4 linked regions of the Elephas maximus indicus genome follow. The protein of the gene in region 2 interacts with the protein of the main gene of each other region in a pairwise test. Links are inferred from orthologs where the notes say so. Each region holds a gene or a part of one and is shown on either strand. Other genes may lie near its edges. The genes, in order: cytochrome c oxidase subunit 5B, mitochondrial; TFIP11; CCDC42; IL16.

Region 1 (7,171 bases), on a different chromosome or scaffold from region 2:
GCAGTTACCAATAGTTTGTGTTGATGGAGCCGTTGGACTGTGCCGTGTGCTTTACGCGTGTTAAACTACTAAATCAATTTATGGATGAGGACACTGAGCTATGCAGGGAAATGGATCACTCGCCAACATCACAGCGATGGAAGGGAGTTGTGTCAAGATTTCTGAACCCAGAACAGACTGTAGCTGTTATGGCGGGCAGTCCAATCAGTTAAAAAAAAAACCCAAACCAAACCCACTGCTGTCCATTTGATTCCAACTCATGGCGACCCCATAGGACAGAGTAGAAGTGCCCCACAGTATTTCCTCTTTCTCTTCACCGATCACTTAAGACCTTTCCAGAGGTGAGGCTTTACAGGTGTATGTTTAGAGCACTCCACTAGTAACCACCATCCCAGTGGTTGAGAGCTTGGCTGCTAACCAAAAGGTCAGCCGTTCGAGTCCACCAGTTGCTCTTGGAAACCCTATGGGGCAGTTCTAATTTGTCCTATAGGGTCGTTATGAGTCAGAACTGACTTGACGGCAGGTAACAAAACAACAACATGATTGTTATTCACCACGTTTTGTCTTGAGAACAGATCTGTCCTGGGCATGTGTTTATGTGTGTGAGTGTGTGCTTTTGGGGATGTCATGTTTGTTCATTCACATTCAACAAGTGCTGGTTGAGCCAATGCTGTGCCTGACAGAGCTAGGTCATTTACACACATCATCCCTTTTTATCCCCTGCCGGTCATGCCATCAGTTAAAACCTATGCCCTATGGTTTGGGAAAGGAGCCCTGGTGGCACAGTGGTTAAGGGCTCAGCTGCTAACCGAAATGTGGATGGCTCCTACCCACCAGTTGCTCTATGGGAGAAGAGACCTGGAGATCTGCTTCCCTAAAGATTATAGCCTTGGAAACTTGATGGGGCAGTTCCACGCTGCCCTGTAGGGTCGCTATGAGTTGGAATCCACTTGAAGGCCCACAGTAACAACAGTGTGAGCGCACTGATTTTTAATTAGGCATCATGAATAATTAATCCACGATCTTCTTGGTGGTTCTCCAGGCAGGAGGGTGGTGGAGCTAAGCCCAAAGCCACCCCTGGGACTCTGGAAGCACCTACTTGGGGGCACAGGAGTGATGGGTGGAAAGGCAGTGTGCTAGTGTGTTGGCATGTCTTCCCAGCAACTGTTGCTGCTCGACCTTTACTTCCTTTGAGAAATTCCTCTAGGAGGTTGGGCTGGTTAATTTACTAGAGTTCAGGTTGTCAAAAGGGATATTAAAAAGCTTGAAAGTATCCCGCCTGAACTTGTTACTGTTCTTTGGAAAACTATTGCTGTTTTAAATGTTTTAAACATATATTGGTAGACCCATTTTAATGAGCACCATTTAAAAGTTTAATATATAGAAGCAGAGGCAGAGCCAACCCCAGGCAAAATTGAGAATAATAACCAACACAAGAATAACTCTTTTTCGGTGCACAAATTGCTTCCACAAACATTACCTCATTTGATTTTCACAGCAGGCTGGAGGGAGCTATTAGGTAGATAAATACCATCGAGTTGGCTCTGACTCATGGCGACTCCCGATGAGATGGATTGGCACAATAGCCACAATGATGGACTGGAACATGCTGGCAATACAGAGGGTGATACAGGGCCAGGAGAGAGTTTCAGTAAAGCCGTGTCCGCCCTTTGCTCCCTCAGGCCTGGAATGGTCAGAGCATCCCACTGTGGCCATCCCTGGTCCTCATCATCCCTGTGGCTCCCTCAACTCTGCCCTTGTAAACCGACCTTTACTAACCGTCTGTGTGGTTCAGTGGGCCCCTGAGGACTTAGGAAAGAAGAATCCCCATGGCTGGCCCAGCAGAGGAGGGGGAGGAGGGAGGGTTGGAGGAAGGAGACGGGAAGGAAGAGGTGAACCTGGGGGAGAGGGGAATGCTAGGATTTCCCAGGTGAATCTCAAGCTCCTCTTTGGAAGAATAAATGGGACTCCAGAGGACTGGGGGGAGGGTGTCAGTGGTGACAGAGGGTCTGGAAAGGGAAGGGTGGCAATTCAGGTTGTCTCCTGTGGGATGCACCCTTTACTGACCTGCTGGTTTACCAGGCTCCTGTTGTTTCTTTAAAAAAAAAATAATTAGAAACTTCCTCTAAGCCCCAGCTCCAGCCAGGCCCCATGCTGATAGGAGTTCCAGGTGACTCATTTTGGGTTTCTTGCATTTGCATAAAAATGTTGTGTTTATTCTGACCTGGCTTTTCAGGGGCAGCCTGCCAGGCCATCCACACCCCCCCTCCCCACCCCCCCCCACCCCCCTACCCCCCAGCCAAATCTGGTGGAGGTTCAGCCACTTCCTCACATCTTCCTCAGGCCCCCATAGGGGTCTTTTGGGGCCTGGTCTGTCCTTGCTGATTCAGGGTCCAGGCAGGCCTGCATTCAGCAGCTTCCTTCCACCACTACCGGTGTCATTAAGAACTGACCCAACACACACCTTCTGGAGTGGTCAGGGCCTTTGTGGTCCAGTCAGAGCTCGGAGCTGCTCCTCTGGGTAACAAAAACACAGACGAAGTTCGTTTTTGGATACCATTATTTCAAGTTTATGTGGCCTCTGCCCCAAATAAAAAATACCACGTGCTCCCACTTTCTTGTGATAAATTCAGTCAGAAACTGCATTTTACTCTTGATTATGGACCAGCCTTGGTCCATGGCGAGAACTCAACATAATCTTCCTACTATTCAGAGTTCCTGAAAATTAAAAGATAAACAACACCCCAAAATAAGAATATGATAGCCAATTTTCAAGATACTAATTTTATTTTTGAATAAATAATACATTTACATAGTTAAACAAAACTGAAAATAATACAAAAGGTGTGCAGGGAAAGTCTTAAAGCCACCCTTGCCGTCATGGGTCTAGTTCCCTCCACCAGTTGCCGAACTTTTGGTTAGCAGCCAAGCTCTTAACCACTGTGCCACCAGGGCTCCACAGACTTGAGAGAGAGGTGTTATTCCCATTTTAAAGAAAGTGAAACAACTCAGGCAAAAAGAGGTTAAGCAGTTTGCTGAGTGGCTGAGCCAGGCAGTTCACAGCAGAGGAAATGCAAATGGCCAGTAAACGTGTGAAAAGATGCTCAACCGTCTTAGAGGTACAGGAGCTGAAAACGTAAATACCACCAGCACTGATAGCATCATTTTTCACCAAACAGGTGGGCACACTTTGCAGAAGGCAGGTAACTCTCAGTACGTGGGAGTTGGTACTGGCTCTCATGTGCCTCTGCTGGTGGAAACATGAATTGCTCCAAACGTTTGGGAAAACAATCTGGCAGATTTATTAAATGTTAAACGTGTGCACCCTTTGACTGTCCTTCAGAAAATGAAAACTCCAGAACGTAAGGATACGTGGACATGCACTGCAGTGTTGTTTGAGTGGCAAAAAACTGGAAACAATCTGAATATTTACCAAGGGGAAAACGGTCGGGTAAATTATGTCACAGTGATAATATATGCAGCAATTATTGTACGCTGTTGAGTTGATTATATATTAAATCAGTTATGTACCATTTATACACTATATGTTATATCTATATGTATCTATAACTTATGTATTGATCTGGAGAGATGTCCACAAAATATTTTGTTAAACGAAAAAAGCAACTAATAACTTACATAGTATATATTTTTGTATTTTATATGTATATATTTGTTTAAAGGTATTTATTTGAGGATAGAGCCGTGATTCTCAGCCAAGAATACTCCACTAGGTCCTTTTAAAGTATCTTCAATACCTGCATGGGACAAGGAGCCCTGGTAGTGCAATGTAAGTGCTTGGCTGCTAACCGAAAGGGTTAGCGGTTTGAACCCACAGGCCCTTCTGCAGAAGAAAAGCGCTAGCAATCTGCTCCCCTAAAGATTACACCCTAGAAAACCCTACGGGGCAGTTCTACTCTGCCTTATAGGATTGCTTTGAGTTGGAATTGGCTCGATGGCACACAGTAACAACAACCTGACAGGTGGGAATGCCTGGGACTTCAATCGTCCCCAGTTTGCCTCATATTAATCTTAGTGGGCCAAGAGAAGTCCTACAAAATTGATTCTGTATATTCCTTCCAAGTAGTACAATTTACAATTTACATGCTGTCCTACAGGGTCGCTATGAGTCGGAATGGACTCGACGGCACTGGGTACTGGGATTATCTGCGGTGGAAACTCTGGTGGCGTAGTGGTTAAGAGCTCCGGCTGCTAACCAAAAGACCAGCAGTTCGAATCCACCAGGCACTCCCTGGAAACCCTATGGGGCAGTTCTACTCTGTCCTGTAGGGTCCCTATGAGTCAATTTACTCCATGGAACGGGTTTCTTTTTTTTTTTTCTCCCACAGCTCCGCTGCTAAGCAAAAAGTTGGCAGTTGGAATCCACTAGCTGCTCCTTGGAAATCCTATAGGGTAATTGCTGAGTCTGAATTTACTGGACTGCAAGGGGTTTGGTTTGGACGTTTTTAAATCATTCTAAGTTCAGCAAGTCTTTGGACAGACGCGATCGAGCACAACTATCAGGCAAGATGCACAGTAACTCCAATGGGATTGCCTCATTCTACACATAAGGAACTGAACGACTTGGCCCAAATCTTAGCGTTAGTAAAGTGCAAACCCCGAAAGCGTACAACCGAGACCACGGAGCCGCCCCAAAGCCACACCAGATGCCCGGCGGCCACCGACACGGCGCCGAGCATGCGCGGCAGAGGGAGCGGAGACAGGCAGGGTCGGGCGTGCGCAGTCCGTCTCTTCCACACAAGTTCCGCCAAAGTCACGTGAGTGGGCGGGCCCGGGGCGGGGAGGAAGCGGAAAGCTGACAGGACCGGAAAATAAGCCCACCACCGGAAGCCCCGCCCACTTGGGAGCGCCTCACGGAAGTGCAGCTGCTTGCCGCGGGCGTCATGGCTTCAAGGTTACTTCGCGGAGCTGGAGCGCTGGCCGCCCAGGCCCTGAGGGCTCGCGGTCCCTATGGGGTCGCCGCCCTGCGCTCCATGGCATCTGGAGGTACTCGGCCCGCCGGGCGCGCCAGGGGCCAGCGCCGCTGACCACTCGGGGTGGTGCTGGGGCAGCAGAGCGGGACCGGCTGTGCGGCTCCTGGGGGCCCCAGTGATCACCCCACGGCCCCGAGTGGTTCAGGTCCCGCGGGAGCCTCCCTGTGGTCCCGGGCCTTTGCCGTCGCCCACCGAACTGACCCCGCCGCGGAAGAATCCTAAATGGAGGCGTCGGGTGACCTTGGAGGGCCGGAGCCGGGCCGCCCTTCAAACCCGTGCCCACCTCAGGCTCGATGACTAAGTAGGGCTCTTACCAGGCTCCGTTTAGAAAAAGTGTGAAAAACCTGGCCTCGGGGTTGGAGGAAGGAAAGATTCTCAGTGCTGCCGCTTTTGAGGGTGATGACTTGACGGACCTTAGAGAACCTAGGATTTCCTTTAGGAGCTTTGAGCTCTCTGCAAATCTGCAAAAATTTAAGTGTGCATTTTCCTTTTGATCATAATTCGCTGTATCTTTTTTTAGGCGGTGTACCCACTGACGACGAACAGGCGACGGGGCTGGAGAGGGAGGTGATGTTGGCTGCGCGGAAAGGACTGGTAAGCAGACTTATTTACCTTTTCTGCAGCTCACGGCTTGGATGGGATCAGAGCAGCCTCTTCTCTGGAAGCATCCGAGCCAAGAAAGCTGGCTTGTGGGAACAGCCCCCTGAGCTCCTAGAGTATAGGGATCATTTGGCATAATGGCTCAATTGTTTTTTTGTTGTTGTTGTTTAGGATCCATACAATCTCCTTCCTCCAAAGGCAGCTGCAGGCACCTTGGAAGACCCTAACTTAGTTCCCTCCATCACCAACAAGCGACTAGTGGGTTGTATCTGTAAGTAACTTGGTACTGTTTTCTTGTTTGTGTAATACATCCTACTGTACAGGGTGCGTAACCATTCGCACCACCCAAGGACTCCGCGGGACATCTGTAAGCTGCTTCAGGTCTTCGTGTGAGTGTGGAAGTGTAAAGAGGATATGTATGTGAATAAGTTGTTCTAAACATCCAGGCCCCAAGACTCCTGCCTCAGTAGGTCATCCTTACTGGAAAGGGGCATGGGACGTCAGTAATACGGGTTTCCTGGAAATGTAGCATGAAGAAGGGTTATTCGTTCAGAAGGTATTTATTGTGTCTTTTCTCTGTGTCAGGCATCATTTCAGTACTAGGGAGGCATATCCAAATGGCCCTGGCTTTGGGGTTCTACTCGGCAAGTGAAGTTAGAACCTATAGTGACTCTGACGTGAAGTCAGTATAGTCTCAGGTAAATTTAGGGCCTCAGTTCCTTCATCTGAAAAATGGGGAAGAGAGCTTGAACTGATCTCAGATGTGAACCATCATTTTTATTTGGGTCTCAGGTTTTTGAGGAAAAGAGATTAATGGAGAAAACCTCCCCTTCCAGGCTAGACAGCCTGTGACACCGTTTTCCTTTCAGGCGAAGAAGACAACAGTGTTGTCATCTGGTTCTGGCTGCACAAAGGCGAGGCCCACCGATGCCCTGGCTGTGGAACCCATTACAAGCTGGTGCCCCACCAGCTAGCCCACTGAGCCCCTGCACCCACTCACTCTAAACGTGTTGTAAAGATTTCTTCTTCCCAATAAAGACTAGCCGTTGCGTTGGCTCCTTCTCCTGTAATTGATCTTATTTCTTGCCTGTATTTTTTGGGGAGGCGTAGATGATTCTTATGTAAGGAATTAGCTATCTTTTCTAGTTTCCTATAGACTTAAAATGCCTAATCAATACTGCTTGGATTAACAATAAAACTATGCCGATAATCACAAAATGCAGCGATTGGAACCATGTGGAGTTGTTGGTGGGGGAAGCATGGGCTTGTGGCATCAAGATGACCAGATTTATAATACTGGCTCCATCATTTAGCTGTGTCACTGTCGGCGTGTTTTTTGAGGCTTGGTTACATCTCAGACAAATACCTTGTGAGGTGTTAGAAGTAGTATTAATATATGTAAAGAACCTGGGAAATAGTAGGTCCTCACAGGGTGGTCTTGTAAGAAGAGTTTTGGGGACCTTGAAGTCTGGGGAACCCAGGTTCAAAGCATAGCTTATGGGGATACCATCAGCAAAATCCAGAATATGGGACAGTCCTGGGAACCAATGACTAGGTTTCATCAACAAATAAATTGA
Region 2 (7,509 bases):
CAGAAAGCACACTTACGCAGCCCTACGAAAGGAGGTTCACACGGCGAGGAGCTGGGGCCCGTTGCCAATGACCGGCACCAACTTGTCAGCTATGTCAGGAAAACACCTCGGAAGTGGATCCTCCAGGTCCGCTCAAACCTTCAGATTCACTATGGCTCTGGCCAACATCTTCACGGCAATCCCATAATACCCTGAACCAGCCCTACCCAGCTAATCCATTCTCAGACTCCTACCACAAAAGCTGGGATAATGTTCACTGTTATTTTAAGCTGCTAAGCTTCGAGGTGTGCTGCAATAGATAACTAGTACATTAAAAACAAACAAACCTGCACACCCATGTTTATTGCAGCACTGTTTACAATAGCAAAAAGATGGAAGCAACCAAGGTGCCCATCAATGGATGAATGGGTAAGTAAATTATGGTATATTCACACAGTGGAATACTACGCATCCATAAAGAACAGTGACGAATCTGTGAAACATTTCATAACATGGAGGAACCTGGAAGGCATTATGCTGAGTGAAATTAGTCTGCAAAAGGACAAATATTGTATAAGACCACTATTATAAGAACTTGAGAAATAGTTTAAACTGAGAAGGAAACATTTCTTTTGTGGTTATGAGAGGAGGGAGAATGGGAGGGTGAGAGGGTAGGAGAGGGGTATTCACTAATTAGTTGGTAGATAAGAACTACTTTAGGTGAAGGGAAAGACAGCACACAATACTGGGGAGGTCAGCACAATTGGACTAAACCAAAAGCAAAGAAGTTTCCTGAATAAACTGAATGCTTCGAAGGCCAGTGTAGCAGGGGTTTGGGGACCATGATTTCAGGGGACATCTAAGTCAACTGGCATAATAAAATATATTAAGAAAACATTCTGCATCCCACTTTGAAATGTGGTGTCTGGGGTCTTAAACGCTAGCAAGCAGCCATCTAAGATGCATCAATTGGTCTCAACCCACCTGGAGCAAAGGAGAATGAAGAACACCAAGGACACAAGGTAATTAGGAGCCCAGGAGACAGAAAGGGCCACATGAACCAGAGACTACATCACCCTGAGACCAGAAGAACTAGATGGTGCCCGGCTACAACTGATGACTGCCCTGACAGGGAGCACAACAGAGAACCCCTGAGGGAGCAGGAGAGCAGTGGGACGCAGACCCCAAATTGTCATAAAAAGACCAGACTTAATGGTCTCTCTGAGACTGGAAGGACCCTGGTGGTCATGGCCCCCTGACCTTCTGTTGCCCAGGACAGGAACCATTCCCGAAGCCAACTCTTCAGACCTGAATTGGACTGGACAACGGGTTGGAGAGGGATGCTGGTGAGGAATGAGCTTCTTGGATCAGGTGGACTCTTGAGACTATGTTGGCATCTCCTGCCTGGAGGGGAGATGAGAGGGTAGAGGGGGTTAGAAGCTGGCGAAATGGACATGAAAAGAGAGTGGAGGGAGAGAGCGGGCTGTCTCATTAGGGGGAGAGTAATTGGGAGTATGTAGCAAGGTGTATATAAGTTTTTGTGTGAGAGACTGACTTGATTTGTAAACTTTCACTTAAAGCACAATAAAAATTATAAAAACAAACAGACAAACCCATTGCTGTTGATTCCAACTCATGGTGAATCCACGTGTTACTGAAGAACTGCTCCATAGGGTTTTTTGGCTGTAATCCTCATGGAGGAGGCCGGCTGGTGCAATGATTAAGAGCGTGGCTGCTAACCAAAAGGTTAGCAGTTCAAATCCACCAGCTGCTCCACAAGAGAAAGATGTGGCAGTCCACTTCCATAAAGATTACGGCCTTGGAAATCTAATGGAGCAGTTCTACTGTGTCCTATAGGGTCGCTATGAGTTGAAATCGACTTGATGGCAATGGGTTGAATCTTTATGGAAACAGATAGCCAGGCCTTCCTTCCACTGTGTGGCTGGGTGGGTTTCAACCTCCAACCTTTAGATTAGTAGTCAAGCATGAACCGTTTGCACCACCCAGGGACCTAACTAATAACACAGGTCATCAGTAAATATTTGTTAATGAGTAACTACATGAATTAGGGAATGAATGATGAAGGCTGTGGTTCCTCAGCTTGCCTGTGGCTTTTGAGGCTGCTTGTTTTACAAAGAATGCCTCAGGCCTGTGACACCTTGTGTCCCAGCTTTTTATATGAGGATGGAGTTGTTACAAAGTCTTAAAAAATAAGTAGGGTAGAAAACATCTGTAAGGAACATATAAAGGGAAATCAAATGGGCTAATTAGCAGCTGATCTGGATTTTTAGTTCTACCAGACTCAGGACTGAATTTATGCTTTGGAACAAAATTCAAAATAAGAATAAACTATGTGAAAATGTATAATGTCACTGTCCTAGAAAAAGTTCTTGTGATAGACTTTAAATATATCAGCTTTGAAATGCCACTTATGGTTTGTTTCTATGGTACCAACCTATTTAAAGTTGGAACTGAGCAAGGATTTTCCCCCACCTCCCAGTCCTTTTGGAGGCAATATGGAAGCAGTGCCATATGGCAGAGGTTGTGCAAGGGGTGGTTAGGAGTGTGGCCTCTGGGGTGGTAATAGGAAGTATCTCTGAAATTTGAAGAATTGCAGAGATGATGTATGCAGAGAGCTTGGCAGTGTGACCCTGAACACACTGGAATCACTCTATAAGTATTAGCTCAACCGAGTGGACCCACATGGTGTGTGGCCGTATGCAGGGTATGCCAGGAAGAACACTGGCCTGGAAGTCTGAACTTCTGGGTTCCAGGCCTGGTTCTGTCTTTAAACTCACTGTGTGGCCCTTGGCATGTCCCCTGTACCAGGACCTCTAAGTTTCTTAGTGCTGCTATAACACAAATACCAGAAGTGGGTAGCTTTGAAGAATGGAAATTTATCTTCTCACAATTTGGGAGGCTAAAAGAGTGCCCCCACTCCCCCTGCCGTATCTCTGTGTCTAATTTGTTCTTTTTATAAATCAGAAGTAATTAGATACAGAACCCACCCCACTCGGGTATGAGCTAAGTAACAAAGAAAACCATATTTCCAAATAGGATTATTTCCACAGGTATAGGGGTTAGGATTCCAACACATATTTGGGGGAAGGGCGTAATTTAATTCAAAACAGGCTCCATGGCCTCATCTGTGAAAAGGAGAGGGATGGACCAATTACTGTCAGAGGACCCTGTCAAGCTGCTGCCAAGGAACCTTGTTGCTTGGCAACCCCCTCTGGGAAGGCCACGTGTCTGAGTACCTCGCTGGTAATCTAGGCACCGGCCTGGATGTCACTAAGTCCCAGAGTAATGCTTTTTCTGGGCAGTGACAGGAGACCAGGACTGGTATCACTCAGGGGCCTGAATCCAGATTTCTGGTCACCTTTTCTCATTTTCCCGAGGTTGGTCACTTTAGCCCAGACACCCTGAAAAAACCATGTTATCTTTGAGGGTTAAAGGGGTGTGAGATTGTGACTTCTAAATGCAAATAGCCACAGCTATTTACTAAGCTCTTGCTATGCCAGGGAGTCCCTGGGTGGTGCAAATGGTTAAAGCTTGGCTGCTATCCAAAAGGTCAGAGATTGAAGTCCACCTAGAGGCACCTCGGAAGAATGACCTGACGATCTACTTCCAAAAAATCAGCCATTGCAAACCCTATGGAGCACAGTTCTACTCCGACACACTTGAGGTTGGCATGCGCCAGAATCCACTGGTAAGCAACTGTCTTTTCACTATACCAGGAACTGTGCTAAGAGCTTTACATGCAATAATTAGTCCATTTTTGTCCTGAGAATAATCATTTTAGATCAGCACCTTCATTATCCCCATTTTACAGATGGTGGAATTGAGGTGAAGAGAGGTGAAGCAACTTGTCCCACGTCCCACCTCTAGGAAGCAGCATTTAGCAGCACCCCACACCTAGCTAGACCCATTGTACATTTATATTAGATATGTGAATGAATAAATTATTTATCAACCTGTTTGAAAGGAAAAGAACGGAACGATTTCCCGGAGAGAACACTTGGGAACTCTAAAGTTGGCTCATTTATTCCTGTACGCCCTCAAACTCCTTTATAAGGCAACGATTCTGCGCCCACGATGGTGCTTATACTGAAGACCTAAAGATACAGGAGACACAGTTGCGGCCTTCATTACTCCCATTTGAGGGCCGTGTACCGGGCTCCCTACTGTCTCACACTAATGCTCACAACTATCCTATGGGCTAGTCCTATATCCCCATTTTACAGATTCAGAATCTGGGGCTGCTTAGGCTGAGGTGGCTCGGCGATGTCCACATGGGTCATCGTAGGTGGGCGTCGCCGTACGAGGCAGGCACAACAAGGAGCTGGACATGACGGCAAAGCGGCCGCTCGGGGACCCACAAATCCCGGTTACCTTTCTAGTATCTCTGCCCCACCGCTTTAGAACCCCAAGACGTTCTGGCTTTCCACTGTTGCCATGGGAGCCCGCAAGCCGTGAGTGCCGCAGGCGTCATTTCCGGCGCGCCTGACTAAGTGCTTCCGGGTCCCGGCCGCCGGAGTGGCGCGTTGATGGTGTAGAACAGACGCCCGTGTTTGGTTCGCGGGACATCGGAGAGGTGAGCTACGTCGGGGAGTGGAAACGGGCTGAGAAAGAGCTGCGCCACGGGGAGTGGGGCGAGGGAAAGGCAGTCTTGGCCTCACCGGTGTAGGATCCCATCTCGCAGACGGCGTTGCCGAGGCCCGTAGAGGGACCGGGCCGCTCGATGTTACGCGGGAGTTGAGGCCAGGGCCAGGGCCGAGTCAAGAACCTGGGCCACCTCCGCGTAGCGTGGACAGCAGGGTGGAGAGAAGGCCAGGCTCTAGTTCGAGCTCTGTTAGCCGTGGAACCTAGGGCGTGTTGTTTCGCTCCCCCGTCTCATTTTTGTTATTTGAAGCGTGGAAACTTTAGTAGTATCTGCCTCGTATAAGTGTCCTGGTGCTTACGTTATGTAGCCGACCTGAAGTGCCCAGCAGGTACTTAATACCTACTGAGGGCGCTACAACTCGTAGCTACTCTGATTAGTACCGTGGTTGTGCCCCAGAAGCCAACGGTATAATTTACTCCCATGTATCTGGGACTCCCAGTCTCTTCCAAGAACATTTACCGCCTATGCACTCCTGGATGAGGTTGGGACCAGCTGCACCCGCAGCAGTGAGTAGAAGAAGAAGGGGGGAACTTTCTGACAGAGCTGAGCAGAGGTTGACACACTGCTTGTGGAAGTAGTCAGCAACTGGTGGAGAAGAATCACAGTCCCTGTCACTTATCGAATGTATTGCTATGCAGTGCACCATGCTTGACACTTCGTGTGCATTTAACACCCACACACTGAGTATTCGTTGGAGTTGAGATTTGAACCCTGGCTGTGATTTTAGCACCTGATTGATTTCATAATCACCTTCCTAGGTTCATTCTCTAATCCAATAATAGTAGCAATGATAAACTTAACCAGGGTGATGACTACAGCAGCAGCTATTCTTTGAGCATTTATTATGAGTTGAGTGGTTTTGGTGTCCCTGGGTGGTGCATATAGTTAGGCACTTGGCTGCTAACCATAAGGTTGGTGGTTCAAGTCCACCCAGAGGTGCCTCAGAAGAAAGGCCTGGCAATCAACTTTGAAAAATCAGCCCTTGAAAACCCCTATGGAGCATAATTCTACTCTGATACACATGGGGTTGTCATGAGTTGGAGTCATGTACGACAACTGACTTGGTTTTTTGTTTTAAGAGATTTTTTTAAGCTCCATCTCATTGAATACCACCTTATATTCTCTAAGGTTGGTACAGTAGCTAATCCCAGTTTCAGAAAGAGACAACCAAGTCCCATCACCCGGCCACCAAGAGGTAGAGTCTCTATTCCAATCCACATATGCCTGACTGTTAAGGTAGTGTTCTTAATTACGGCTGCCTTCCAACTCATCAGAAAAGGTTCATTTTTGGGAAAGAAAATAGAGAGAGATAACTCTAAGAGTCTGTCTCTTCAAGTAATTTATTTCAGAAAGTACATCCCCCACCCCACCAATAAAGAAAAAGTCACTCTCCTGAGCCCATGCCAAGAGTCCAGATACAACTATTTCAATAATTGAAAATAGTAATAAAATCGGGGGTTTGGGAAGATATTCACCCAATTTCTGAGGCAATAATATATAGAAGAACGTATTTACTTAGTTGTTTTTGTGTGGCTTTTGTATATATGTGGGTGAAGTCTTACAGCATTGACTAGGACAGAGAAATGCATATTTTTTAAGAATCACAGATGGTTGACATTAATCTTTTGTTTCACCTGTTGTAGTACTGATTGTTTCCTGAAATATGTCTTTAACTGTCCACTTTATTGAACAGTAACAATGATTTTAACAGACTTTGAGTTTCATAGAAGTTCTGAAGGCAGCAAGGAGCAGGGACTCACAGGAAGCCTTCCATTGCTGCCTCCAGGACTTTTCACAGACTCTGCCCTTTTTGTCCCTTCCTTTAGTGACGGGCCATGTCGCTGTCCCACTTGTACCGGGACGGGGAAGGCCACATGGATGAGGACGAGGATGAGCATGAGAACTTTGAGATCACCGACTGGGATCTCCAGAATGAGTTCAACCCCAACCGGCAGCGCCACTGGCAGACCAAGGAAGAGGCCACCTACGGGGTGTGGGCAGAGCGAGATTCAGATGAGGAGCGACCCAGCTTTGGAGGCAAACGGTACTGGCCTGCGTGGGGCTGGCTCTTCCTGCTTTAGGGAAGGAGAGATGGATGGAGGGCGCTGGGTAGACCTTGTGGCCTCTTGGAGTCCTTTAGGTATGTGACATCAGCTAGGGAGGTCCATTTTCCTCTTCAGGCGAGAATGCCGCTCTTGCTGATTGAGTCATTCAGTCAGTGTTTATAGAGCAGTTACTGTATGTCAGGCCCGGGCTACAGATCCATCTAGTGGATGGAGACAGGCATTAATCAACCCTTCACACAAACACTGGAAGTCTGTTACTGTGATTTCAGACCTGAAGGAGAGCAGGGTGTTTGACCTGTTCAGGGAGGTCAGGGAAGGTCATTCTGGAGAAGTGACCCTTGAGCTGATATGGAACTAGAAGGTAACTGGAGTAGAAGGAGAGGCAGGAGGATGCAAAGGCCTTAGATTGGAGGCAGCAGGGTATCCACAAGGAAAAGAAAAGGTTTTGCAGGCTGGAGTGGAGAGAGGGAGGGGGAGCATATGGGAGGGGAGGCCGGAGGTCAAGTCCTTAGGGGCCTGGAGGTGGTGGTAGAGAGAGTGAAGTGTGGTGCAGTCTGAAGAAGGCTCTTTTGCTGATGTGCAGAATAGGCATGGAGCTACAGTGGAAGTGGGAGCTCCGGAAGGAGGCCATGGCAGTGCTCTGCAGAGGTGGGGGAGGCCCAGGCTAGGATGGGGGCAGGGAGATGGAGGAGTCAGGCTCAAAGTCTCCCCTCCCTTCCTGAACACAGCGTGAGACCATGCGTGAGGGACCACAGCTCACTTGACAGGAGCGTGGAACTGATTTGGATTCATCTTGCCCTG
Region 3 (7,676 bases), on a different chromosome or scaffold from region 2:
TTAGTTAGTTGTGTTCTTTGGAACTAGAAAATCCGATCCTAAAGTTGATCTGAGAAAATAAACTAGAATAGCCAAGAAGCTTCTGGAAAAGAAGCACACTGAGAGAGGACTATCCCTGAAACATATAAAAACACACGTAAAGCCTCAGTAGTAAAGGTGTGTGGACAGACAGGTCAACTGAACAGAGAGTGTCCATGGGGAAAAGCAGCACTAGTCCATAAATGGCTTAGGGACAGCTAGGCAGTCATCAGAAGGGAGGGAAAAAAAAAGTTTGATCCATACTATGGTAAACACCATACAGCTCAAAAATAAAAATGTAAAACACGAAACCCTAAAGGGATTTGAAAAAAACATGGGAAGACTCCTTAATAATGTTGTGATATGGAAACCTTCTCTAACTATGACTCAAAATCCAGATGCTATAAAAGAAAAGATTAAGGCATCTGACTACATAAAAATTAAAAAATTCTACAAGAAAAAAAAAAAAAAAACGCCTTAAGTCAAAAGACCAATAAAATAACTGGGAAAAGTATTTGCAACTCCTTTCTAATAAATAATGAACTCTTATAAATCTATAAGAAAACAGCCAACCAACCTAGTAGATTGGTGGACAAAGGAAGTTAGAGAGACAATTCATAGAAAAAGAAATACAAATGGATTGATCCAGAAATCCCACTTCTTGGAATTTATCCTGCCCATATGTGAAATGATATGTGAAATGATATGTATACAAGGTTATATACTGCAAAAAATTGGAAATAACCGAAATATCCATCAATAAGAGACCAATTAATTAAATTACAGAATATCCACATAATGGAACATAATGCAATTAAAAGAATGAGGAGACTTTTAATATATTGATATGGCAAGATCTCTAATATATATTATTAAGTTAAAAAAATAAGGAGCAAAACATTGTTTGTATGCTCTTTTGTGTAGAAAGAGTAAAAAATAAGAACATATTCCTATCTGCCTGCATTTGCATAAAGAAACTCCAGAAAATGCATAAAAACAGTTATTCGTGGGAAAGGTGTGAGAACTGGGTGGTTGAAAGAAGGGATAGTGATGAGGCTTTTCACTGTACACACTTTCTTTGAATTTTTGAACCACGAGGATAGATTATCTGTTTAAAACACCATATTTAAAATACTTTTCTATTTATCTCTGATATTCTTAAATTTCACTGTATATATTTAGATGTGTTTTTTGTTTGTCTCCTTAGATATAAGAATTTCAATCTCAAGTCTCCTCTTTCATACCCTCCATTTGTTTTTCCTTATGAAATTCCTATTATTATTTAGATTTGACATTTTTATTTCAATCCTCTGGACCTTAGCTTTTATTCTTTATCTCCTCCTGAAGCCTTCTGGAAGAGTTCTTAAAGATGGTCTTCTATTCATTAATTGTTCTTTAATTGTATCCATCCTGCCATTTAAAGCATCCATTGAGTTCTGTCGTCCACTCAGCTTTCCATTCAATTCGTTCTTCTCCATTCACGCTTGCTTCTCTTCATGTTCCCAACATCCTCCCTCATCTCTTTGAGGATATTTGTTATGTTTATTTTAAATTCTTATTCTATTGATCTGTTGGTTCTGTTTCCTTTGGACAGGTTGTTCAGTCTGTTATCTTTTATAAAGGTTGCCCCCCTCAGACATCTCATTGTTTTTCCTCATGAGCTCATGTGTGCTTGAGACTACGTTCTACCAACTACCTTGAACTGTCCCTGGAATGTTAAATGGCCTCCCTGCCCTGTTCTGCATATGTATGTATTCAGACAGCCTCTGGTGTTGCAGTCCAAGATCACCCACTCCTGTTTTGCCTCCCTTGACCAGGCAATACTGTTCCTCTGTAAACCTTCCAGAACCTTCCCCCCAGACATGGTTCTTTTCTAGGGGCTGCCTCCCTCTGTTGCAACTGCCTGCCCATGAAAGAGGGACCACTCAGGATTATCCAGCCTGAGTGCATTTGTGTCTGCTCCAGTGCTGCCCCCTCCTCACCCCACCACTCTGGGCTGACACTAAGTTGTCACTGGGATGATGCTGCAAGCTGTACAGTGAGCTTCCCAGGGCAATGTGCAGAAGAGAAAATGCCATGAGCTATCCACCATCCCTGGTACTTAGCCCTCTTCTGTTCTGGACTGCCATTTCTCACACACACACACACACACACACACAACCACATCCCACCACTTTCTGCCTCCCTAGGGTTTCCTCACAGTTTTTGTGTTCCGTTTGGTTAGCCATCCACCTCTCTCAGTTCTACAGAATCTCCAGGGACAGAAGCCCTGATCTGCAATCTTGTGGGAAACCTGAAGTTCACCTCATTTTTAATTGTGGCTTTTCTTAGTCTGCAGATGAAGCATAATCTTCAAGCCTCCATTTTTTTTTCTTCTATAAAGGAGACATTTGAAATAAACGATCTCAAGTTGTTCTAACTTTAAAATTCTGTGGTTCTGTGTGGCAAATGAAGTGACATAAAATATACCGAGATATTTTAAGACTACAGAGTTACCAAGGAAATAAAGAGGCACATGAGGGAATACCCACCAAGAGACAGTTATTAGCAAGAATGGATGTCAGGTTGAGAAAGTGGAGTGTCAATCAAGTTTCAGGGAACTAGGAGAAGGGGAGGATGTTGAGGGAGATACACAAGAGAAAGAGAAAGACACTGGTTAAAACAAGGTTTGGAGGAGAATCAGCAAATCTTGAGTATGACAAAAATAACTAACTACCATGGGGGCAGATGCAAAGATTTTTTTTTAATTTATTATGAGATATTTGAGACATAGGGAAAGGTGTAAAGAATAATGTAATGAACACTTGTGTTCCCAGTGCCCAAAATCTAACATATTACACATCACCAACAGCTTGCCCTTGGTTGACACCCTGGGTGCCTTCACCCAGCAACATGCCTTCTGAGCGGGATGACAGTGGGCAAGGTACTTAACCTCTCTGAGCATCCATCTTCTCATCCATAAATGGAGATGAAGATAATAACAGTACCTACCTTGAGGAGGTTGTTTTAAGAATTAAGTCAATTAGTGGGGTTAGTACTGTTAGTTCTGTTACTATCATTTATTCAGATGTTAAGTGCGCACCTTCATGGGTCAGAATTGTGCCAGGCTCTGGGGACAAACGATCAGAGAAACGTACTCTTCAAAGAGTTTACGGTTCTTATTGCCGTCGTTGCTCTTACCCTACTGGTTCTGACTCTCTAGGGCGCCCCGGGTGGAGAAGCCATCTCTGGTTTAGGGGTTTGTGGGGGGTGGGTGTTCTGGGTGGGAGGGGGGCTGTCCTGCTGTCTCTCCTGAGCCCGCCAGGCTGACTGAAAGCGACCGGGCTTGTGCTTCTGGCCTCAGAAATCCCCACTAAGCGGTCTATTCTGGGGAGGAGGTTGAGGGGAGGATGGAAAGGAGGAGGGTGGGGGGTGGGCAGCGCCCCTCCAGCACGTCTTTTCCTCCCCACGGGCGGGTGGCCAGCAGGGGGCGCCAGAGGACCAGCAATGCCGCTGAGAGGGCGGTTGCTGAGCTCCCTTCACGACGGGTTCGAGACCCCCACCCCACATGGGCTTCCCTTCCAGACAGAGAGCAGAGCCAGGACGCGTGGCCCGCGTGGGGCAGAGGAAGCCGCGCGAGAGCATCGAGGGAGCTTGGGAGCCTGTCCGCGGGCAGGAGCCAGCGGAGGGCCGGCCTGAACCTCCCAGCCGGGGTCTGCCACGGAGACCCAGGGCGCCTGCCCCACACGCCGGGTCTCAAATCTAGACGCTGAGCCTCACGGCCATATGAGTGCATGCATTTACCCTGACAGGGTCGAGGAAGGCAGCCATCACAAAGAAAACATTTGATGTGTGAAATATTCATAACCCTGCTTCGACATGTCTCCAAAATTTAATAATCTAAGAACTTCAAAATGAGGCACTGGTCCCGAATCTCTTGCCCCCTCCTCCACACCCTTGTTGGCCATATCTCTTCAGTCCCAGGCTTCTTGCATAGCCTCACACATCTAGACCGCACACACATCCTTCACCCACTAGCTAGTTGTCAACCTCAGGCCTCCTCCCACCTTCAGGAATCTCCAGCCCCTCTCCTGCACATCCCCAAAGGCCCATGTTTCTCTGTCCACCCTCACCCCTACCTCAGCTAAGCACCTCTTCTTCTTTCCTTTCTTATTTGCTATCTGTCAAAGGCTCACCTGAACCTGGGCGGGAGGCCTAGGAGCAGGGGTCCCTCAAAAGGACAATCCCATTTCTCAGCCAGGACACCCCGGCCCTGCCTCCCAGGCCTGGGCACCACGGCAGTACCTACTGAGGCCTAACTTCCTCCCAGAGTTCCCGAGGGGTAAGGGCAGGAGTAAGGAGCAGGACCCCAGCAAACATGAGGCCAGGAGGCAGAGGGCTAAGCACGAGTTCTGCGTGTAGTCCACAGAACCAAGCAGCCTGTTGCTAGGTAACCAGAACCTCACATCACCCCCCACAACACATCATCTGAGCCAGGGATTCTGTCTCCAGCTATCTTGGGCAGAGTCTCTCAAATACCTACCGCCCCTGTGGGACTCTGAAAGCAGGAGAAGAGAAGAAACCAGAGCCCAGCCACCACCCCTTGGGATCCGCCACCCACTATTTCACTGTGAGGACCCAGCTGACTGGGCCGTGAGGGCACCGCAGCCATGAGCCTGGGAATCATGGAAGAGGAAGATCTGGCCGAGTACTTCCGGCTGCAGTATGGGGAGCGGCTGCTGCAACTGCTGCAGTGAGTGTCTGAGAGCCCGCCCCATCTCTCTGTGCCTTAGACCACCGACCTATGCCTCACCTTCCTGCTCCCAGCCTGTCCCCGCCTCCTCCTATAACCCAGGGCTCCAGATCACCCTGACACCAATCCCCCCATCACCCTGCCTCAGCTCACTCTCCAAATGAGCACGCCTCTCTCTTCTCCACACCCCAGACCTTTCACTCAGGTAGGGGAGACACCCCCTTCCCTCCCCATGGGTATCTCTCTCCACTGGTTACTGCCCAGCCCCAACCTGCCTCAGGCACCCAGAGCCCACAGGCCCCTCTTGCCGGTGTCTTGGGCAGGAAGTTCCCCTCCACTGAGGAGCAGTCGGAGTCCCCATCCATCCGGCTGCTGGAGAAGAAAAAGGAGGCCAAGATCATGCACCATGCTATGGAGCAGAAGAAGGAGGTGGGCCAAGGGGACAGGGTGCTGGGGTGCATGTCTCTTCCCTCTGGGGAGAAGAAAAATGATCCGAGTCTCTGGTGCTATTGTTGTCCTGGGGTGCTCTGCTCCAAGCCAGCCATGGGACAGAGAGGGAGAGGTCTCCTATGAACCCTTCCGGGCATGGGAATAGCAGTTCTGGGCAGGGGATGCTGGGACCTTCCTCAGTACACATGTCTGAGGCCCTCTTGACCACTCTCCTTTCCCCACCCGCAGACATTTAAACGCAGGATGGAGGCCTTGAACCTGCGCTGGGAGGAGCTGGGCATCAAGGAGGCCCAGCTGACGGCCCACATCCAGAAGTTTGAGCAATTCATCCAGGTAGGTAGCGGTGTGACCTACTGTGGCAGCCAGTGGGACTCACACTCTGCTGTCCAGCAAACTGCCTTCCCTCCCTCCTCATCCCCCTAGCTTTTGCTGACCTTCTCTCCCTGGGTTCAATGGCTGGCTGTACTCCAGCAATCCTGATGCTTTCCCCCTTCCAATCCCTCATTTACAGCTCTGTTTGGAATTTCCTGTTTACCTGCCCCTTCTAGATTGCTGTTTCCTGTTTCCTTGCCAGTACCTAGTGAATGAACAAATGAATGAATATATCAGAATCAGGGCTGGGCCCTTGGGAATACAAAGATGAATAAGACAGGACCCATCCTTGCACTGAAGGTCCAGACAGGAAATGGTCAGAGGAGCAGGCACCAGAGTTCACTCCCAGACAACCCCTCTCAATGGGTCCTTAGAGGAGGGATTTAGTCATCTTAAAGTCCAGCCAGCACTTATCAAACCCTTAAGGGCCTGGCCCAGCTCCAGGGGCTCGTTGCTGCCCTTGGCCATAGAGGAGCCTACTCTTAAGCATCTTCCACCATGCTTGTGCCTAAACCAGACAGGAAAAGAAGCTGGCTGACTGGGGGCCAGTCCTTTTACTGACCAGAAAAAAGCTCATGGAGTGGTTGGAGCAGCAGGAGATTTGGGGGTGAGGGGTCCTCCAGATGGCTACTAGAGGACCAGCAGCACTGAGGTCCCTGAGAGTTTGTTACAGACGCCTGGACTCTCTTCTCTCCTTGCTTTCAGCAGGCGTGAGGTCAGTCCCAGGCATCTGTATTTTTACCAAGCTCTCCAGGGGTTACAGATGTACAGTCGGATTTGAAAACCATTGGCTTAGGGCCCTTGTCCTCTCCTGGGCTTAGGGAGCAGAGAACAAACCCCTGAGCACCTTCCTTCATGCCATCCAAATGCTGGGACCACACATGCCACCCATGGGGAATCAACAGGGCCCCAGGGAGGAAAGGGCCACACAAGTGCTGGGAGAGGGGTGGGTTTGCCTCCTACATCTTGGAGGGAGGGTTTGGCCGTAGGAAGGAGAAGGCAGGACTGGACACATTGCAGTAGCTGAGCCTCATGTCATTTTGGGTGTCAAATTGCCTATGCCATCTTCTCCAGCCCTGGCCTGGTGCCAGTCTGAGCCCCTAGGAACATGCTCCCTGGAATGCCTTATCCCCTCCGGTCCCCTGGACCAGGCCCATTGTCTGCCTCATCTCCCTGTAGTTCAAGGGCTGCTACCTCAGCTTTTGGAAGAAAAAGAAGGGCCACTGCCTTTCATTTATATAGTTGGAAAAACTGAGGCACCAAAGTTGGGAGAACATTCGGGCCTCCCAGCTATGGGCCCAGGAATTTACCCCATGACAAACGTCCACCACTAAGAACAGAAACAGGGGAAGCTTTGTCAGAAGGTTTGCTTCTGGAAAGTCCACTTCCGGGCCGTCTCACCCTTCCCCAGGGTTGAGCTGTCTCCAGAGACTGAGACGTGGGCCTCCGCATTTGGCCCCCTGAAGTCTGGAACTCCTCCCACAGAATCAGAATCATTTCCCAAGGCCACCTCTTAACTTGGGTCTAAACCTCCCCCCTCACAGCCTTCTGAACCCCAACTCACTCCACAGAAACCCCGTCAACTAGCTGCAGATAAGTTTGTAGACCCTTTTCCTGTGTGCCTCCTCTCCCAGTGGGCGGCCCAGCCTTCCCTGCCCATCCTCAGAGTGTCCAGAACTCAGCCAACCGGCCTTGCGAGGGCACCAGGGGGCTGAGGGCCCCTCCAGCCACTGGCAGTTCTGACTGGTGCCCCTGCTCCGGCCCCAGGAGAATGACCAGAAGCGGATCCGCGCCCTGAAGAAAGCCAACAAGGAGCGAGAACTCAAGAGGCAGCGCATGCGGGAGTTGGCCAAGGCCAAGCAGGAGATGGCAGCTCTGCGGCTGGAGCACCAGCGGCTGAGCTGCAAGCTGCAGGACTACTCCATCTTCAACAAGTACCTGGAGAGGGTGGTAGAGAACTCTGAGGTGAGTCCTGGGGTCGAGTGGGGAAGAGCCTTGGTGCCCACCTCAGCCGCACCTCCCCTTCCCCAGAGTGTGGGGCTATGGGTGGCATTTCAGCCTGAGCTAGCTGGGATTTAGGAGCTCCTGGGGGCTCTGTGGGAAA
Region 4 (7,653 bases), on a different chromosome or scaffold from region 2:
GCGCACAGAAAGGATGGAAAAAATAGACAATCTTCCCCAGTGTAGGACCCCCTACATTCTATCCCTTCTCTTATAATTTGAGATTGCAGTTGAGGTTGTGCCATTTAAGCCCATTCGCACTAACCTGGGGTTGGGGGACGTATTTCAAGAAGGAGGAGCTGTTCGTGGAAGCTTGGTGATCTGGTGGCTTCTGCATGGAGCTGGTGGTGGCCAGAAACTCAGACATCAGTGTCAAGGACCTTCCATCTCAGATATATCTGCATGGGAACCTCAAACCAAGAGGCTGAAAAGCACGTGTTCACAGCTTTTGCTTAGCTTCACCACTGCTGCAAACGTGGGAAATTCACTCCAAAAGACATGGTGTCCAGTTAGCAATTCCCAACGCCCCTCCTTTGATTTTCCACCAAAGCCCCTGGGAAGACACAGGATAAGATACAAAATGTCATCAACGCAGAACTTGGCCTCTGGGATGTCTCAGGAGCATGCTGGCTGGTTAAGAAAATCATTCAACAAATATTTCTTGAGTGCCTACTATGTGTCAGTCTCTGTTTTAGGCACTTGGGATAAATCAGTGAACCAAACAAAAACCCTTTCCTCATCGAGAATACAGTCACCGCATCTGTGTATTGCTCTGACCTCCCAAGGACCCTTGTCTTGTGCTGTCAGTTCTGACTTAGGGTGACCTTGTGTTACAGAGTAGAACTACTTCATAGAGTTTTCTTAGCTGTAATCTTTATAGAAACGGATCACCAGGTCTTTCTTCCAGGGCACTGCTGTGTGAGTTTAAGCTGCCAACTTTTTGGTTTCCAGCTGAGCACAAACCATTTGCACTACCCAGGGGCCTTCTCCAAGGACTAGGACTTCAGACAGACAGACAGACACACACACACACACACACACTTTTTTTTCTAGAAAGCAAACCTGTTCCTTTTGGAAAAAACAATTAGGAAATACAGAAGAGAAGAAATGAAAAAATAAAAAGTACCCATAAGCCCATTAGCCAGTGATAACTGGCTGGCGTATAGCTGATAGGCTATTTACAGAAAAGATCAGATGTACAAACATGTGACCCTATTTCTCTGTAACCAAACTAACCCTTTAAGCCCTTATTTCCACGGATGATGGATAATTTATTTTGCCAATTTGGAGTAAATGTAGTCACTTCGATTTAAACTCCCGTCTCCTCTGGGTAACTGCTCGGTCAGTTCAGGGTTCTCTGCCTGCTCCTTCTCCTCAGGTGCACTCTGGGCTCGGCTTAGGGGTACAATGTACTACGGTGATGCTGAGGAGGGCGACGTGGCTCCCGCTGGCCTCTCTGCTGGCACTCACTGCAGAAGGAGCCTGTTAGCTTTGTCTGGAAGGTTCCATCCTCACCACATCGGCTGCCAAGGCGTCCGGTTCTGTGATCCATGCAGCTCACTCTGCTTCCTCCTCATCCAACTGTCAAGGGCTCCCTGGGTTGGCTGGCACGTTCTGGCAATTCTGGGTTCCTCTCCAAGGCACAGGGAATTGCAACTGTACCTTTACCTCCTCAGCAGACACAGAAGATTGTCCCAAGACATTTGTCTAATTATCCCAGGTGGACAGTTCTATTCCAGGTGGGCTCAGGGCACACAAATGAAGCACCTTCCTCCTGGAATTCCAGACAGGAAGTGGGGCACAGGTCCCTGGCTCTCCTGTCCCCAGTGTGTGCTGCCCTGTCTCTTGGTGCCAACCTCAGGAAGAGGCACAGTAGATGCATCCTTCTAAGGCCCCAACCTGTGCCTTTTGAACCTCATCCTCCTTCCAGTTGGGCAGACTTTTGTCTTTTTTTTTTTTTGGATTAAAAGAACAAAAGAGCTGCTTTTATATCATCCTACGTTTTTCGCGGATCTATGGTTCATGGTGTGAAGTTTGTACCCTGAGTCCTCCAGGCTCTGCTCTTCAGAGTCAAAGACAAGCCTCTGACATCAAAGAAACCAACGAAATAAAAATAAACCTAAGTGTATTCATTTCCTATTGCTGCTGTAACAACTTAGCTTGAACTTAGTGCCTTATAACAACATGAAGACATTACCCTACAGTTCTGGAAGTCAGAATTCGGAAAGGAGTTTACTGGGCTAAAATCAAGGTATCTGCAGGGCTGTATTCCTTTCCGGAAGCTTTAGGGGAGAATCTATTTCCTTGCCCTTTCCAGCTTCTAGAAGCTGCCTGCATGCCTTGGCTCATGGCCCCTTCCTCCATCTTCAAAGCCAACAGTGCAGCATCTTCAGATTTCTTTCTGACTTCCTCTTCTGCCTCCTTCTTCCACTTTAAAGGGACCCGTTTGGATTACATTGGGCCCACCCTAATAGCCCAGAATAATCTCTTTTTTTTAAGGCCAGCTGGTTAGCAATCTTAATTCCATTTGCAGCCTTAATTCCCCCTGGCCGTGTAACATTGCTACGTTATGTGAATATGCTTATTCACAGGTTTTGGGAATAAGGATGTGAATATTTTGGGGGCGCCATTATTCTGCCTGCCATGCCAGATAACAATTCCTTTCTCCAAGGCTAAGTGCGTGTCTGTCATCCAAATCCACGGCTTTCAAGATCAGAGTCACAGCTATTGATTTAACGATGTCTACATAGGAGTTCCAATGCAAGTGATCTGACTTAATTTTTTTTTTTTTAAGAGATGATGTGAATTGAAAGCTGGTGCGTATTATGCAATACATTGTTGCATAACAAAACACCAATTGCTGCGTGGGGTAACATAGTAGATTTTGGAAAACCCAAATGGATGTTGGAGAAAAAGACAACTCATGGGGAAAAAAACCCCTCAATATTACATCTCCAAAGTTCACTTTTTTTTCAAGTATGTGGATCATACTATACACTTCACTTTGTACCTGATTTATTTATTTACCTAGCAATACAACGTAGACATATTTCTACAACAATAAATATTACTTTATCACATCATTTTTTCATGGTGGTAAAGTATATATACAAAAGATTTGCATCTCAAACATTTTTATAAGCACAGTTCGGTGGCATTAATTGTGTTCACTACTGTTTCCAATCTTTTTTGTCACCCTTAACAGAAACCCAGTGCCTCTTAAGCACTTGCTTCCCTTATAACATCTCTCTCTCTTTTTTTTTTACATTTTGCCTCTTAAGCACTTGCTTCCCTTATAACATCTCTCTCTCTCTTTTTTTTTTTTTTACATTTTTTATTGTGGTAAACATGTACGTAGCAATACATTTGCCATTTCAGCAGTCTTCACATGTACAGTTCAGCCTATCACGTCATCGTCATTGCCTTAGTAGATTAAACCCATCTCCACTGTTGCTGGAACCCTGGTGCCGTAGTGGTTAAGAGCTTGTCTGCTAACCAAAAGGTCAGCAGTTCAAATCCACCAGCCTCTCCTCAGAAACCCTATGGGGCTGTTCTACTCTGTCCTACAAGGTTGCTACGAGTTGGAACTGACTCCAGGGCACCTAACAACAACCACCATCACTGTTGCTGCAGCTGGGTGCTCCTTAAACAAAAGGCCAGTTTCTGGCCCTCAAGGTAAGCTCACGGCACAGCCGTGGCATCCCGAAGTTCATGGCCTGGGCAGCTAACTAGTTAATTAGAGGAAGGTAGGGCTGGCCGCAGGGAAGTGCCAGCTCTGGAACCCGGTCCACCCTGGGATGAGGGTTGCTTTGGGGGAGCTGTTCGGACTCCAGGTGCTGATTGCAGAGGTTTTGTTTGTTTGTTTGTTTCTGGCAACCTGCAATATTGCCTTGATAAAGGATGATCTAAGGCGTGCGTGTGCATAGGTGTGTGTGTAGTGGGGAAGGGGTGGGCGGGCGGAAGCCTCACAGTGACTTGGAGGCGTGTTGATGGATGGTGAACCTGCAGCTCTTCAAAATCCTGAGTGGCGGCAATGACACAGTCCAAGAGTCAGTGGCAGCCAGAGCAAGGACCTCTTCCAAGAAGGCCTGGGGCACTTCTCAGGTGACAGGTAACTCAGGAACAGAACCAAGGCCGGTTTCGCTTGCTTCTCAGTGAAATTTTCTCTTTCTATCAAACAGAGCAGGCCTACCTCCAATCCAATCTCCTATAGCTGTGTCCAGAAAATCGTCACACCCTTCAACGTGTGAATGTCCTCTTTCCCCGTTTTTAGCCGTGACCATTTCGCCACCTACTGTATATTCTTTTGGCTTTTTTGGTGGGGACCCAAGGGCATAGGCGGAGGCTCATTTTACCCAGCAGTCAAAAATCGGTCATTTAAAATAATAGTTCATCTTGTCCAAGTCCAAAAATAAAACCTCCTGGTATGAGAAGGCAAGCAGGCAAAACTGGTCTGAGTGGGCTGAAGGCGTTTGCTATCCCAGTCACCAGGGCTCATGTCCCCTTTTCCATAGTCCCTTCTTGTCCTGCCTTGGGCAGGAGTCAGAGCGCCTTCTGTTTGTCTTAATTAAAGTCAGCTTCCACTTGCCCCCCAGCCCAACTGCCCTTCCCGGGACACAGGCTGCATTTACCAGGAGTTGCTCTGCCCAAGCCCTTTGCAGATTTTATGAAAGGCGTTTTCAGTTGGATGAAACAGGCGCTGTGTTTGTGTGTGGCGTGTATGAAGGAGAAAATGAATCACTGCAACTCTGGGCAAGGGTTTTAGGTGTTGTGTTTGTCCCTTGCAATTACATAAACACACCAAGAACTCATTTAGAAAAAAAAAAGTCGGGAGGGGGAGCCGAGTTTCGAGTACTTGGGACGATCTAAACAGTTTAGCACATTTTCCATATACATTAAACCTCAGAAGGAGTTGCGTTCTGCCCTCTCGTAACAGACTCCGAGTCCAGAGGAATGTTTGAGGTTTTACATTTCTGTTTGTGGTACAGGAAAAGGGTTATGATCTGAGGGCTTGATTCAGTGAAATAACATTGCCTTTACACACATTTGCTTCTCAAGGAGGGCAGGAGTTGGAAGCGACTGTTCTGAACGTTAAAGATTTGTTGGCAGAAGGGGAAGGGATTTTTTTTTCCCCTCCCTGTGGAGGAGAAACAGTTCTAACGAGGAGTTACTTTGTAGTTTTTAACTCCTATTCAAATACTCTCAGTCATAGAAGCTGCCGTTGGTCCCCCACGACGGTCTTGAATCCTGGTTTGGAGGGACTTTTCCCGCTTTCCCTCATCCTGGAAACCCGGAGTCATGAGTTTGCAGAAGAGAGTTTTCCTGCCATGGGAGAATGGTAAGTGGAGCTGCTTCGCCTGTCTCCCGGGGCTCATGGGAGGTGGAAACGGAGGATTTGACTTTTCCTGACACCCTCTCGGAGGCATGAAAGCATGGTTTTGGTTAAGTGGTATAGTGTATGTGTGTGTGTGTGTGTGTGAGTGTGTGTATGTGTACACGCACATGTAAGTGTGTGATTGTTCATGCACACACATGTGGGGCTGTGTGTGTGTTATGTGTATGTGTGAGAGTATGTGTGCACACATGTGTAGTGTGTGAATGTGTGCATGCACGTGTGTGTGTGTGTGAGATGCAGCCGGGCACAGTCCCTGCTGTCTGGGGTGTCCTTGCAGAAATTAGCTGTGTGCTCACTGTGCTTGCAAAGGGGTGAGCCGAGTATCGCAGGACCTCTTGCGGGGGGCGGGCGTTGAGAGTCAGCCCTGGACAAGGCAGTGGTTCCTACAAGCCCCCACTTTCTCTGGGAGTGCCTAGGGCAATGCTCAGGGGCAGAAGCATCTGTGTTTCACTGCTGTAGCTGTCAGGATCCCCACCAGCTCTGCTCGGCTTTCTGGCTTGCTTTCTTCCGGCATGAAGCAGAACAGAAGAGGGAGCTGCTCAGCCCCATGGGGAGAGCGGAGTGCAAGTCCCTGGAGCAGATGGGACCCTTGAGCCTCGCAGACCTGAGAACTGGGGGGGTGGGGGGATCCCGGGAACCCCGGCCAGGGTCCCTCCCTTCCTGCAGGTGTAGCCCCACTGATCGTTCCTTATAAAAGCCTTCTTCTTTTGCTCCCGAAACATAAATGAGCAGGCATCAGAGAAAAGGATTTGAACCCCGTTGCCCAACTTTTAAAGTCGACACTGGCAAAACTTCAGCTCTGTTGTAACTTTGGCATAAGAGAGTAAACACATGGTTTTCTTTAAAAAGGGAAATGAGGCGAGTCGGAGGCACATTCTGACGTTTTCAGCTCCAGGGAGATACGGCGAGAATCCTGGATCCATTTGGTTTGGTTGCATTAAACCATCCTCTGAACTCTGAAGGAAGGCAGTGGAGGGTGGGGACTGGGAACCAAGACTGGGGATCTGGCCACCTAAGGGTGAACCTTAGCTCTGAGAGTAACCCACTACTTGATCTTCGGGATCTTTTTAAGCCTCTTCTATGGCTCAGTTTCTTCATTTGCAAAATGGGGATAATAAATTCCTACCTTGCAGGACCATAAAAGCATTCAGTGAGGTAAAGCTTGTGCAATGCCCCGAACTGCATCTGTACGACAGAGGGAATATGTCAACACCCACAGGCAAGCTGCTCTCCTATTTTGACCCAGAGCCACCATCACACAGCACCCAGAGCAAAAGACTACATGAGGGTGCAGTGTAGCCCAGGGCCTCTCCCTCTTGCAGAAAGTGGAGTAAGCACTTGGAATGTCTCCTTTTGGAGACACAGCAATGCATTTACTTATACTGAGGAATCTTCCAGGGCAGGACTTGGCCTGGTATTTCATAGGTGCTCAATGTTTGGTGAATGTGTTTTATTCACTTTTATTTATGGGGAGGTTGTGCCATTTCCTGTACCTGGTTGCGTGCCTGCCCTGGGTTGGGCTTCCCTGGTAACAGACTAAAGCAGAGATTTGTGCGGAGAAAGCTGACTGGACAGTGTGCTCAGGAATAACACTTGGGACCGGGAAAGAGGCAGAACTGGACAGGGGGAGAAGTTGGGCTGTGATGCTGTTGTAACATAGGCCTCAGCTAATTCTATGGGGTTTGGCCCCTGCATTGACCTCTTATAGGATGTGGGCTGCCCCTGGGGCCAGAGCACAGCCTTGGGCAAGGCAGGTCTCTTTGGCTGAGGGTAGTTGTTAGAAGAATTGACACATTTGATTTGTAGTGTTGGTGACAAATATTAAATATACTGTGAACTGCTAGAAGAATGAACAAATTGGTCTTAGAAGAAACAGAACCAACAAATACAAATGCAATCCTTAGAAGTGAGGATGGTGAGACTTTAGCTCACCTAATCTGGACACATCATCTGAAAAGACCAATAGCTAAAAAAGGACATCATGGTTGATATCTTGGTCATCTAGTGCTGCTATAACAGAAATACCATGAGTGGATGTCTTTAACGAAGAGAAGTTTATTCTCTCACAGTCAAGTAGGCTACAAGTCCAAATTCAGGACACCAGTTCTGGGGGAAGGCTTTCTCTGTCAGCTCTGGAGGAAGGTCTGTGTCATCAGTCTTCCCTTGGTCTGGGAGCATGTCAGCAGAGGAGACTCAGGTCCAAAGGACATGCTCTGCTCCTGGCACTGCTTTCCTGGTGGTATGAGGTCCCCATGTCTCTCTGCTTGCTTCCCTCTTTTATATCTCAAAAGAGATTGGCTTAAGACACTATCTAATCTTGTAGGTCTCATCATCATAACTGCCACTAATCCATCGCATTACATCATAGTGATAGGCTTTACAACACATAGGGAAACCAT

What was found.
Region 1: the proteins of TFIP11 (region 2) and cytochrome c oxidase subunit 5B, mitochondrial interact in binary tests that used the Homo sapiens proteins (3 or more experiments, as listed by UniProt). The two-hybrid records come from large-scale screens. The link is inferred for Elephas maximus indicus from reciprocal best matches to the Homo sapiens genes TFIP11 and COX5B.
Region 3: the proteins of TFIP11 (region 2) and CCDC42 interact in binary tests that used the Homo sapiens proteins (3 or more experiments, as listed by UniProt). The two-hybrid records come from large-scale screens. The link is inferred for Elephas maximus indicus from reciprocal best matches to the Homo sapiens genes TFIP11 and CCDC42.
Region 4: the proteins of TFIP11 (region 2) and IL16 interact in binary tests that used the Homo sapiens proteins (3 or more experiments, as listed by UniProt). The two-hybrid records come from large-scale screens. The link is inferred for Elephas maximus indicus from reciprocal best matches to the Homo sapiens genes TFIP11 and IL16.

Annotation. Positions count from the first base shown.
Region 1 is NC_064835.1:88,116,741-88,123,911, reverse strand, and holds cytochrome c oxidase subunit 5B, mitochondrial, read left to right. Parts: upstream 1-4,840; 5' UTR 4,841-4,904; coding exon 4,905-5,007; intron 5,008-5,514; coding exon 5,515-5,588; intron 5,589-5,765; coding exon 5,766-5,865; intron 5,866-6,463; coding exon 6,464-6,576; 3' UTR 6,577-6,668; downstream 6,669-7,171. UniProt on the Homo sapiens protein: Component of the cytochrome c oxidase, the last enzyme in the mitochondrial electron transport chain which drives oxidative phosphorylation.
Region 2 is NC_064840.1:30,359,750-30,367,258, forward strand, and holds the start of TFIP11 (tuftelin-interacting protein 11), read left to right. Parts: upstream 1-4,495; 5' UTR 4,496-4,573; intron 4,574-6,468; 5' UTR 6,469-6,477; coding exon 6,478-6,686; intron 6,687-7,509. UniProt on the Homo sapiens protein: Involved in pre-mRNA splicing, specifically in spliceosome disassembly during late-stage splicing events. Intron turnover seems to proceed through reactions in two lariat-intron associated complexes termed Intron Large (IL) and Intron Small (IS).
Region 3 is NC_064837.1:11,978,470-11,986,145, forward strand, and holds the start of CCDC42 (coiled-coil domain-containing protein 42), read left to right. Parts: upstream 1-4,667; coding exon 4,668-4,750; intron 4,751-5,073; coding exon 5,074-5,179; intron 5,180-5,428; coding exon 5,429-5,533; intron 5,534-7,339; coding exon 7,340-7,537; intron 7,538-7,676. UniProt on the Homo sapiens protein: Essential for male fertility. Required for sperm development.
Region 4 is NC_064831.1:71,286,603-71,294,255, forward strand, and holds the start of IL16 (pro-interleukin-16), read left to right. Parts: upstream 1-4,646; 5' UTR 4,647-5,157; coding exon 5,158-5,197; intron 5,198-7,653. UniProt on the Homo sapiens protein: Interleukin-16 stimulates a migratory response in CD4+ lymphocytes, monocytes, and eosinophils. Primes CD4+ T-cells for IL-2 and IL-15 responsiveness. Also induces T-lymphocyte expression of interleukin 2 receptor. Ligand for CD4.